Linked DNA regions of Drosophila melanogaster. The protein of the gene in region 1 interacts with the protein of each later gene in a pairwise test. Each region holds a gene or a part of one and is shown on either strand. Other genes may lie near its edges.

Region 1 (7,400 bases):
AGAAACTTCGAAGATCTAGATTAAAAATAGATATATAAATCTAAGCGTATTTGTTTTTATCGATTTTCGTTTTTTATTCAATTACATTTATACAACACATTTAACAACTGTCGGTTTTCGTTCGGTCCTTAACGGATGCGCAGGCGACGCAGGATGTTGGCGGGCAGGTAGGAGTTGCTCGTGGCGGCGGCTGGTGGGGAGTAGTTGGGGCCACGACGAGCGGGAACCACGGGGGCAGCGGAGGCGAAGTTGATGGCGTTGGCAACTCCTCCGTTGATGGACTGGCTGGATCCTCCCAGGTTATCGTACTGCGACTGGATGGCACGCTGGGCATTGGCCGCATCCTCGGGAGTCCTGTACTTGACGAAGTGCACCTCAGGACGCTGGTTGGAGTTCTGGCGGGCGGCATTGAATTTCTGGGCCAGATCTCCAATGTCGGTCTGCTTGTTCAAGACATAGATGGCGGTCCTCTGCTCGGCAGCCTGCTTGGCGAGGGCCAGAGCAGCGTTCTCCAGGCCACGGTTTTCGGGTCCCTTGATGAAGACCACGCGGAGTCCCTTGTTCACGGAGCCGGCGATCTTCTGGGCGGCCAGAGGATCCTCGAACTGGCTCTCGTCAGCCTCGAAGGTGTAGTACTCCTTGTTCAGTTCGCTGGAGACCGAGTAGTCCGGGCTGCTGGCAGCACCATCGTAGGAGTCGCCAACACTGCTTCCGGAGTAACTGGGAACATTATCGGAGGCGGCTCCGGTAAATCCCGCTCCGTAGTTGTACTGGGCGCATGCGGCACCAATCAGGCAGAAAGCGATGAGGAAACGCATGGTGAAGGTTTGGTTTTGTAGGCTGGGTGTGCTTAACAGGCAAAGGCCAAGACTGAATCCTGAGACTGAGGTGAGCAGCTTATATACCCATCTGGCGTAGTTAGAACCGACTTAGAACTATAACCGACACCATTCCCGTCGGGTTGCTACATAACTCAACTAGTTTTTTATGCAAAGCGGTGCGCTTATGAAATGATTATGCAAACTATCCTAAAATTCTCGCCAATACATCCAGTCGGCGACCCCCGACTTTCTGCCCAATTGCAAAAGCCAAATTCTCGACCGGTTCATGGCGCCGCGATTTATTCTTGACCGGGGCAAAACTGCCCGGAATTCGATTGGGGAAAATGCTGCAAAACTATCAAACCCGTTTCCAAAAAAAAAGTCAGAGCCCGTCCAAAAATGTTCTGATGGTCATTAAAGTCGAACACAATGTGATGCATTCTTTGAGTTCCGCCTACGAAACGATAAAATCTTAATCTATGCGAACTCCATTGATAGTTAATGGTTTGTTGTTGCTTTCTGTTTGTCGCCTTTTTTGCTATCGAAAGTGGGTCTAGAATTTGAAGTGACTTTTTAGTTTGAGGTTCAAAGTCAAAAAGAATGTCGGAAGCTTGCTTTGAACTCTGGGCAAACCTGTTTTAAATAGTCTGGGAATTCCATACAAGTCCCGTATATAAGAGCCAGAATATTTGCGTCCAGTCAGTTTAAAATCTCATTTAAACGGAGAAGAAGAACGTACAAGCAATCAAACAATATGAAAAATGCTGTGTTTGGATAGAAGGATATCATCATCAAAAGTTCTGCTGATACTTTTCTGTAATCCATACAAAATAATCGTTTGATAGTGTTTTGTCATCTTAAGCTAAGCGAATGAAAGTGAAGGGTTTTAACGTTAAATTTTATTTTCCTTATTTTTGAAAACTATAAATTTTCTTCAGTTGGAGTTCAACTGATGTGTTCATGTGTCATTCATTCAGAGGCGTTCATAAAATAAGCATTTAAGTTTTTTTCATCCAAAACATTTTTTTTTTCAAATGAATGAAAATATGAATATATATATATTAATGAATATATATGTAGGAAAATAAAGTGTAAAATACAATAAGTTGTTTGGATTTGTTTCGGCTAAAAATCCGTCTTAAGTGTTCTGTTTACGGAATCGCCCAAAAAAATCAAATCAGATTACAACAATTATTTTTTTTTATTTATGGAATAAGACAACATGATAACTAGGCAACAAAATCAACATCCTGTAAATGGCACTTAAACACGGAAGCGACGGAAGATGTTGGCGGGCAGGTAGCTTGGTCCTGGAGCACTGGCAGCGGTGCTCTCGCGTGGAGCCGGCTGGGAGGCGAAGTTCAGGGTAGAGGCAACACCTCCATTCTGGGACTGACTGGATCCTCCCAACTGATCGTACTGACCCTGAATGGCACTCTGGGCGTTGGCAGCATCCTCGGGAGTGCGGTACTTGACGAAGTGCACCTCGGGCTTGTTGTTGTTGTTGTTGCGGATGGAGTTCAGCTTGTTGGCCAGATCACCGATATCAGCCTGCTTGTTCAGGACATAGATGGCGGTCTCCTGCTGGGCAGCCTGCTTGGCCAGAGCCAGAGCGGCATCCTCCAGACCGCTGTTCTCGGGTCCCTTGATGAAGACCACGCGGAGTCCCTTGTTCACGGCGTTGGCAACACGGTCGGAAGCAGATGGGTCGTAGAAGTCACCCTCGTCGGCGGTGTAAGTGAAGAATTCCTTCTCGAGTTGGGCCTGAGGAGCAGCGTAGTTGGGAGCAGCAGCAGATTGAGATCCTTCCAGGGCATCAGCAATGGATGAGGGACCGGGGGCAAAGGATGCACTAGGAGCAGGCGCGAAAGCGGGTGCATCGCTGCTGGCCGATCCAGATGGCTGGAAGCTCAATCCGGAGGGAGAGTGGGCCACCGGTTGGTAATTGTAGCCAAGTTTATCGGCCGTGGCCAAGGCAATAAAGCAAAGGACGACGAAGGAACGCATGTTGACTGTTTGGATGGCAAAGATGATTGGTTACTGACTTATCGAGTCGAAATTTTGGCTTTTATAGGTGCAATATTCAGTTCTTCGGCTGCAGTATGGTGCGATATGAATTATGAACAGCTCAAATTTGCCTTAAAAATGCATAAATAAGAGATTAAAATGTTAAATTTATAATATAATTTTATGATTCGTCACACTGCTGCTGCGGTTGCAAATTTTTGCATGGCTTTGTTTTTACTGGCTCTGCGGAAAGCGGCATGCAAATTATGAGCTAACCAGAATTGGCCAGTGAGGAGGTTCATAGTCCGACTCGGATTGCCAAATCAGATGGCGCCAAGTAATTTATTAAGAGACCAATTATCGAATTATCTGATTTGGCGCTGACAAGGCGCAGTGGTGCAGTTTTTAATTGGCAACCGGCCTAGGCGATCAGAAACCATGTATATATATTAAGTAAAGATGGCTGCTATATTTAGCGATGAGTTCGATTCTTCACTTCCGGCGGATGGAAGGTCGCCTCCACCCGCAACATTAGCATAAAGCAGCTAAACACAGCGACCAAGACGACAAGACAAAGCCGCTGAATAAGGCAATAATAATTTGGCGAATCGTTAAAATATTTATTTTTGGCAGCGGTAACGCGACTAGGCGCGCCTCATTTGCATGTGAAACGGCCTGTCAAACGTTTTGTTTGCTCTCCGGCCGATTTAGGTGACACTTCTCATCCCGGGCGAACTGGGAATGGGTTTGGATTTGTGATACACATGTGATACATGAGTAACAAGGCATCCATCTAAATAGCCCCAAATGAGGTTTACGATGCTCTTGATGCTCTGTCCGCGGCTTTTTATAGCCAGATTTTATTGATTTCAACGATAAAGCTACATGAAAATACCAAAATGGCAAGGTTGGCCCACAACACTGGCCAAAAGCGGCGCCGAAGAATACGCGAATTATTGATTAAGGCAGCATATTGAATTTAATATGAATTTTATGGCGCCAGCTCCGGCTCATACATGGCCCGTACCTCTTCCTTCTGAGTTTCTACGTTGACCTCATGATGCAGCCACCCGCTTCGCTTGCATATTTTAGCGGGGTGGTACCGGTACTGCCTGATCTAGTTGGCTAAGACCGTAATTAGACCGCTTTATGCAGAGCGTTTTGCATAGCAGTGGCTTTCATCTGCATAAAAGCGAAAGAACCATCTCACACCATCATCAAATCCCACAACCACCTCACCCGCTCAACATGCGTCAGTTCTCCGTAGTTCTTTGCCTGTGCCTCGCCGTTTTGGCCAGAGCCGATAAACTCGGCTACAATTACCAACCGGTGGCCCACTCTCCCTCCGGATTGAGCTTCCAGCCATCTGGATCGGCCAGTAGCGATGCACCCGCTTTCGCGCCTGCACCCAGTGAATCCTTTGGCCCCGGTCCCTCATCCATTGCTGATGCCCTGGAAGGATCTCAATCCGCTGCTGCCCCCAACTACGCTGCTCCTCAGGCCCAACTCGAAAAGGAGTTCTTCACTTACACCGCCGACGAGGGTGACTTCTACGACCCAGCTGCCTCCGACCGTGTTGCCAACGCCGTGAACAAGGGACTCCGCGTGGTCTTCATCAAGGGACCCGAGAACCGCGGTCTGGAGGATGCCGCTCTGGCTCTGGCCAAGCAGGCTGCCCAGCAGGAGACCGCCATCTATGTCCTGAACAAGCAGGCTGACATTGGAGATCTGGCCAACAAGCTGAACTCCATCCGCAACAACAACAACAACAAGCCCGAGGTGCACTTCGTCAAGTACCGCACTCCCGAGGATGCTGCCAACGCCCAGAGTGCAATTCAGGGTCAGTACGATCAGTTGGGAGGATCTTCGCAAGCTCAAGATGGTGGAGTGGCATCCACCCTGAACTTCGCTTCCCAGCCCGCTCCTGTTCAGGCTGCCAGCAGCCAAGCGCCCGCCCAGTTCCTGCCCGCCTCCCAGCCCGAGGCTACTGCACCCATCTCCTCGTATGTGCCACCTGCCACCCCAGGTAGCTCCTACTTGCCCGCCAACATCCTGCGCCGCCTGCGTTTCTAAGTTCCTGGCATTTCCTTTGTTATTGTTGAGATTATAATACGAAATAAATTTGTTTAATAATATAAATTTTTAAGTTGTTGTTACTCTTTTTGAGAGCTATTGATATAAATGGTATAATCAGCTATTTTGAGGATTAAAAATACGTAATAAGATAGTCTGGATGCTCCTGAAATTCCCGACATTCTTGTGCTATTGTTTAGATTTGAAGACCTAATAAAATTGTTTTAAAATGTAAATTATTAGGTTGGCTTGCGGATCTTCGCGGCCAACATTCCTAGGCATATTATCAGCCAGAATTAAATTTCCGAGGCACAACATTTTCGCACTCGGCGGCTGGCAAACAAGTTCGACTTGCGTTGAATTATGAGTCCGTCCGGCTAAGCTGTTTGTGAAAATTGCAAATGAGCGGAAACCTAAGATGTTTTCTCTGGCATCGCTTTGAATAATCTGCTTCGTGTTAATCTGTATAATCTGGTGTATAACATATGGCTTATCGGCTACTTGGCTGCCCATGCCTACCTACGCACTTCGCGGTTCGAAATTGAGATGGCACTCGGTTTGACAAATTGCACGAGACATCGGGCGACAGACGACAATGGTCAAATGCCGAAAATCCATTGGGGCGGGCAATTTAAAATTATTAAGCTGGGAAATTAGCCCAAAAGCGGAGGGCCAGAGTCTTACTTTCAATCATCCCCAGCTCGATTTGCATAACAAAATGGGCGAACAAAAGAATGCGGCTACTGCATAGTCAGACAATTTGGAGCTTGGAGCCGCTACCGCCCAGCCCTTTGTCGCCTGATTTACATAAAAATTTTGTTTTTCCGTAAGCTGCAAGTTCATCAAAATTTAATCAACGCCGCCGCCAACGCCACAGCTTCTGCTTTTGCTTTAGCTTCTGCCAATAGGTCTAGACCAAATCGAGCTTGGGCCAAAGCCGCCAAGTGGAAAAAGAAAAACAGAAAAACAGGTTAGGCTCGCAGACAATGCGAACCTTATCGCGATCTCCAGCACGCTGTCATTCGCCTGTTCTGATTGACGCCCCTGCCGTGTCGGCCAGGCCATATAAATGGCCCGGCGGCTCAGCTCGACATCATTCTGACTTCCGACTCCGGAGCTCCAACTAGAACAGCAATCAGTTAACAGCAAGATGCGCGCCTTCGTCGTCCTGTGCCTGGTGGCCATCGCCTCCGCCGACAAGCTCGGCTACAACTACAAGCCCGTGGGCCACTCCAGCTCCGGACTCTCCTTCGCTCCTGGCAGCGGATCCCTCAGCCTGGGAGGCGGCGGTGGATCCTTGGGCCTGGGTGGCAGCAGCGGATCCTTGGATCTGGGAGGAGCCAGTGGATCCCTCGGCCTGGGAGGCGGCAGCAACTTCGGCAGCTTGGACGGCGGCTTTGGCGGTCTTGGCGGTGGCTCCATCGATCTGGGATCCTCCGGCCTGGGTTCCTCCGGTCTTGGATCTGGATTGGGATCATCTGGTCTTGGATCTGGCCTGGGCTCCTCCGGCTTGGGATCTGGTCTGGGATCCGCTGGACTGAGCGCCCCCGTCTCCTACAATGCCCCCGCCCCTGCTGCTGAGCTCCAGAAGGAGTTCTTCACCTACACCGCTAACGAGGAGGACTTCGATGAGCCCCAAGCATTGGAACGCGTTGCCAGCTCCGTGAACAAGGGTCTGCGTGTCGTCTTCATCAAGGGACCCGAGAACCGTGGTCTGGAGAACGCCGCCCTTGCCCTCGCCAAGCAGGCTGCCCAGCAGGAGACCGCCATCTATGTCCTGAACAAGCAGGCCGATATTGGAGATCTTGCCCAGAAACTGAACGCCATCCGCAGCAACTCCAACAACAAGCCCGAGGTGCACTTCGTCAAGTACCGCACTCCCGAGGATGCTGCCAACGCCCAGCGCGCCATCCAGTCGCAGTACGACCAATTGGGAGGATCCTCTCAGGCTATCAACGGCGGAGTTGCCAACGCTCTGAACTTCGCCTCCGCTGGCCCAGTGCGTCAGGCCACCGCCCAGATCCCCGAGAACTCGTACCTGCCCTCGTCGGTGCTGCGTCGTCTGCGTTACCGCCACTAGGAAGTGCCATAGCTTTCAGCTGCCCTATTTGTTGACTTTTTGTGTTATCTATTGATTTGTCGAACGAACCGCTCCAATACAATACTTTTTTAAATTAATGATCGGGCTATTTCTGTCCTGTGTGTGGGAACTGAGCTAACCATAAAGCTGTCGGGAATTTTTGACGATTGAGCCACTCACTGCGGGGCAGAGTGAGAAATTGCAAAGCTCGGCGTTTATTACACGCCCGGAGTGGCAATAAAAATTCCAAAGCGATGGCGCCAAATGGAATACAAGTGGAAATCAATAAAAATTTACATGTTTTGGGATGCAGAGAGAAAAAAAAACAATCGACGAAAATTTTTTATCATAATTAAAATGTTAATCTGCGTGAAGTAAAAGGTTAGACAAACTATTAGCGCTCAAATTTATGGCAACTG
Region 2 (5,684 bases), 4.3 Mb from region 1:
AGCCGCACTTCACACACATGCAAACAGTTGGGTTTGACAGGATAGGAGCTGCGAAAGTGAATTTTGTTTAATATATTTTAAGTTATACAGAACGTACATACTCAGTGTCAATCAAAGATTAAAAGTCTAAATGAGTATATATTGCATAAATTGTTAAATTGGATTAGAATCTTTAAAGAAGTTCAAACTATTCGTTTGAACCCGTTTTTCTTCCCTCTGCTGTGTGGCTGCAAAGAGGTGGATTCCCGGGTGAGCGGTTGTTGCCATATTTTAAGTGTTTTCTGGTTTTTCGGCCACTGTGCACGGTGCTTTTAATTCCTATGGCGGCGCTCGCCTGTAATTTATGTGCTTAACTTTCACACTCGGCTGGCTAAAACAGTCACCGAAAAATCGTCATAAAAATAGAAAATATATATATATATGAACACTCTCGTACTCGGCCATTTCACACTTTTGCGCCTTTCGGCCGAAAAGCGGTGGAAAATGAAAGCGAAGCCACAAGGACAACGGCTAAATGCGGAGGAGGACGAATACATTCCAGTGAATATTTATGAGCAACCAAAGTAGCATTTGTGCTTTACATTCCGACTTTATTGTGGCCATCGTTGCTGAAGTCCAGCCAGTTGTTGTTGCCTCTGTGTGCAACAGTCCCGTCCATCGTTGAAATTCAGGCCGCCCTTTGTGGCTGCCATTGCTTCACTGGAATAAATATTCAAATTGTATGTAATAGTTTATACTACTACTCTATTCTATGAACTCGCATTTGATCATCTACTTAGGTTTTAATATATCAAATATTTCGATAGAAACTATCTTGTTTATTATGATGTTCAACTGATATTTTAATTAAGTTGCTTTTTACTGTGTAATGTTGGCGCTGCTCTTGTTGCTGTTGCCGTCCTCTCATCTCTGTCAGCTTTTCCGACTCTGATGAGTTTATGCTTGGAGCACATATTACTTTATTCCAGAGTGTGCCTAGGCCCCTGGCCACGCCCCCCGCCCATGTGGTTTTGGCCCACCAACACAGGCACATGCACACAGTCGGCCATTCATGACTGTCATGAGTTTTCCGCAATTGATGGTCTAATTATGCCGCCAACACTAAATTTCATGACTTTGCTGGTCGACGAAGGCCGCCGATGATGAGGGGGTAGAGGGGAGGGGGTATTTTCCGAGAAGGGGAATTGTAATTTAATGGAAAAACATTTTGCCACACATCCACGGAGAGCGGAAAATGGGAGCTGAAGCCAAGGGCCACTTTACAGTTTGACAGTCACTGCCAGACGGTTGACATTTTAGCTTGGATTTATGGCCACCTCTTTGAAATGGCTCGTATGTTAATGCAACAGTTTGAGAAGCGTAGTTTTATGGATTTGAGTTTAAGAGCCCTTTTTGTTGAAAGCACATAATCATATAACTTATGGAGGCATTTACAGCAGCTGAAAGGCAGCTTATTATAAAAAACATATTTCTTATTAAAGCTAAAATATTAAACTTTACCAATAAGAAGTAAACTATTTAGATGAATAAATGTATTCTAATCAATTTAAGAGAGGTATAACGTTACTATTTAGTTTCTATTAGCTTATTTTTACTATTTGATTAAGCCAATTAGCTAGTCATATTTTTTGTAGCCGGCTAATTGAGATCCACTCAATCGAGAACCGCTGTCGGGCCTCCAGTTGGATCTGTAAAGCCGAACTGGTAATTATCATACCGAAACCAATGGGGCACATCAAAATGTTCACACTTCATAATATTTGCATATTAATGTGCATGTATAATTAGCTTCGAAATAATTAATGCCCGAAAACAAGAAACCTAATCGAATGCCTAGGCAAAAGCAAGCATCTCCCAATTAGAATCCATGGCATCGGAGAATATTTGATGTGTGAAGTTAGTTAGCCGGAGTTAGTTCTCACCGAGAGTTTCGAGTGGAAGGTCTCTGGCACTAATAAGTCTTTAAATATGTATCCAAATTGGCTCGTTCTGCTCCACTTGCCGCTGGTTTGTTTGGGAGTTGTTTCGCAAACATTTGCACAGCCGCTGACAAAGTAGGTCGTGTGAATGTGCTGGAATGAATCTCGCCCAGTGTGTGGGTGGTGGTTAGCGGGTCAATCTATTGAGCAAACTATTTGCTTACAGGCACCACAACACCGGCATCCTGAGCATCAATCGGGCGGAGGGACAGAAGATTGAGGAAGCCGCGCTCCAGCAGCATCTGCAACAAATCACGGGCAGCGAAGCGTTGGCGCCATTGTTGCACGAGTTACTGGGCCAAACTGTGCCAAATTGGCAGCAGCCACAGCAGCAGCAGAAACATCAGCAGCCACGGCAGCAGCAGCAGCAACACTACCAACAACAGCAACCAAAATGGCAGCAACAACAGGCCACAAATCAACCGCAACAGGAACAGGGGCAACACTTTTTTGTTTATGAAAACGCCGCGGGTCAACCACCTCAAATATTGGCCGGGTTCAATGGCGTCAATGTGCAACCTGAACAACCAGGCCAGCAACTGCGTCTCCAGCCAAAGCCAATTCAGACGGCACAACAATATGGAGGAGTCGGGCCAAAAGTCGTTAAGGCGCCGCCAGCCGCAGCTGCAGCCGTTTGGGCGCCACGAGTCGAGAGCCACCCGCCGTAAGTAAACACTGAAAACTACCAACTTATATAATCCATTATTTGCATTAAACAATGCATTTTAATTAGCCCATACCCATCTGCGGCAACTGCAGCGCCAGCAAGTTGCCAACTCGGCAGGAATCCGTCGGAAGTTGCCGCTCCTGCCAGCCCCAAAGCCACGCCCCCCGCGCTATGTCCGCCTCCTTCGGGTGGCCAGGAGACGATCCCCTTGCTCAGTGCTGCGGCGCTCAAGGCGACAGCTGGTTAAGTTTTTAATTAAATCGCTGGCATAATTAATAAAGATGCGCATAGAGAGTCGGGCAAAGTGTTGCATACTTTTGGGGCGGCCGATCGCATGGGTGTATTGGTTGCCGTGCACATGTGTGTGTGTGTACTCAATATTCATTCATGTGAGAGCAGCAGCTGTGTCAGTTACTGCAAAAAAAGTGAACTGGCTTTTTTGAAAATATCTTTATTAAATTCGAGGATTTTGAATAACCTTGAATAAACAGATGTAACAGATTCTAGATTTTTCTAGAATTTTTTTTTCTAATCCGTAACCAGATTTGGCTTCCAATCTCCCAAAGCCCAGAAAGAACTCGAACAATACGTATGAGACTTATTTGTCAGCGTGCCTGCTCCGGCCTAGCAGGACCTCCGCCCACCAGGACTCGTTTCGAGCTGTCACCGAACTCAGCATAAAAGTAAAACATTCAACTAAAAACAATTTCTAAAAATATATGTGTACGAATATAAAACATGCAACACGAAAAAACCGCACAAAACACTTCACGTTGAGTGCGACTCGCAAATTGTGGGGCGTCTGTGTGAGTGAGCTGCACCACCGACACCAACAGCACCACCGCAGAAAAGAAGCAAAATAATAAATAAAAATCCGCAAAATGTATGTGTGGCGGAGCGTTGAGTCTGCGGCGGAGTGTTTTTCGCAAGTGTTTGAGCGGGAAAAATGAAAGTGCTGAAGTGTCGCCCATTGTTTGTCCTGTCAACTCAACGAAGCCGCAAGAAGTTGATGACCGGAATAGTTGGGGGATGGGCTCAAAAGCAGGTCTATAATCTAAAGGAAGATCTTTGGGACATTCCTTGGTATCGAAACAATAAGAGTGGCGGGTAAACTGAAGGGACGCTTTTGGTGTCTAACTAAAATTTTAATATACTTACTAAAATAGGACATATACTCTCAAAGAAAGTTACCCAGCAATCTATTCGCTAGAAGTCGAAAATTGTTCTCAGCATACATATCTGGTTTAAAAATGTGTATTTGTTAATATCAAAGTAAGTCTTCCAAATCTGAAGTTCGCAGTAGGTCCTGGCAGTCAAAACTGAAATTGAATTGGATGTGGTTGTGACTCCGACCCTCTGACGTCTTGCAGATGTGAGTAAACTGGCATACGGATGACTCCTTTGTTGTCATCGGCACTTTGGTACACACTTTATAGAGCTCCATTCGAAGGCTCTAATTTCATGCGCGCATAATCAGGGAGCGTGGCTAATTAAATTCTAAACATTCGCCAGCATGAGCGCACTAAAAAATGTTTTATATGACTAGAGTCTCGAGCCCCATCCAGTGTTTCCCCATCTCTTCGTGAAATCTAACCCCATCCCATACCATTCCATACCATACCCATTCCATTCCAAGCCAGCCTTCATTCCAATCTCGAGCTGGTGCTTTGTAATTGCAGATCCCGGACTTCGTACACGCCCCTATGCAAATGGCATAAAGCTGATGATGCTGTTGTTGCCGCTATTACACTGAAAGAAACTTCAAAAGTAAGATTTAAAATGCAATAGAAAGTTCTCAGTTCAAATGCGTTTTTCTATTGGATTAAGTTCTCCAGTTTCAGTTGCTTTTGCGTGGACATTTTTTTTCGGGCTTGTTGTAGTTTTGTCTCACTACATTTTTTCCAGTGCTGTTGCTGCTGCTTCGGCTCCGTGTTGTTCTCTTTGTGCCCATCTGCAACCTAATCTCATCTCGCGCTGACGGCTTTTGAACTGCCTTCGTTTGTTGTCGTTGTCGTACTCTAAATTAACCGTTTCGTTACGTCAGCGCTGTCTTTTGTGCGTTGACAGAAGCGATTGTTGTTGTTGTTGTTACTGCTGCTGCTACAGCCACTGCCAAGCGAATCCTGTAGTCCCGTAGCAGAGTCCTGTTTAGTTGCAAGTTTGTATGAGGCAGCCGTGCGTGCCCGGTCGCCTGGCAATTGGAGCAATCAGCCAGCTGAACTCAGCCCGGCTCTTCAGCTTTTTGGCCCATTTGCAGTTCCAGACAACCCATTCCAGCTTCAAATCCCACTTTCAGACCCAATCCTATACACAAGCCCAATGGCAGTGCCCCAGCACTCAGCACAGCTCGGAGACAGTTGGCTTTGTCTTGTCAGCTGGGTCCTGGCACTGTCCTGATTGGCATTCACAATTAGCGAGCGGGTAAATAGAGAGATGCTGCAAGAATGTTCCAAGTCCGGGTGTCTAATATAAAGAAAAGCTATTTTTGGGGGATCGCGAACTAGCCCTTTTATTGTAGAGGATCACAAACGCTCCTATTATATAAAGCTCATTACTAAAAGCTTACAGATGACTTTTATCTGTAGGTGCTAATAGTCATTGGTCATAGTCATTGACATTGGTCATCTCAATCCTATTATGCTTTTGAATGATGTAGTGGTCAGCGCGAATCCACCCAAACCCTAGGACACACTTGCCAAAATGGTCAACTGAAATGCCTGAAAGTATGCAGCAATATATAGTTCACGCACACAATGACAACAACTGAAGAGAGAGAGAGAGTGTGTGCGTGTTTGTGTGGCATTGGAATAATGTACTCTTAATTTGTTATGCGTGTGTGATTAATGATCCATGCATAACGATAACTTTGACTCATTACACCTGCTGATTTATCGCTGTCAACGGGCGGTCCACAATATGTGACCCAACCTCGCCCCACCTTCATAACCACCTCCCTTTTCATCCACACAAAAACACAAACGCACACACTCGCATCATCACTGGCACATGTAAGTGAATTTTGAATTTTGATTCGGCCA

The links.
Region 2: the proteins of TwdlJ (region 1) and CG5386 interact in a two-hybrid assay, tested with the Drosophila melanogaster proteins (one large-scale study listed by BioGRID).

The regions. Positions count from the first base shown.
Region 1 is NT_033777.3:26,625,880-26,633,279, forward strand, and holds TwdlJ (TweedleJ), read left to right. Parts: upstream 1-4,038; 5' UTR 4,039-4,076; coding exon 4,077-4,901; 3' UTR 4,902-4,946; downstream 4,947-7,400. Other genes in the region: TwdlO (TweedleO), read right to left, coding at 129-818; TwdlK (TweedleK), read right to left, coding at 2,085-2,828; TwdlN (TweedleN), read left to right, coding at 6,052-6,981.
Region 2 is NT_033777.3:22,338,499-22,344,182, reverse strand, and holds CG5386 (uncharacterized protein), read left to right. Parts: upstream 1-1,931; 5' UTR 1,932-1,968; coding exon 1,969-2,054; intron 2,055-2,145; coding exon 2,146-2,643; intron 2,644-2,712; coding exon 2,713-2,893; 3' UTR 2,894-2,947; downstream 2,948-5,684.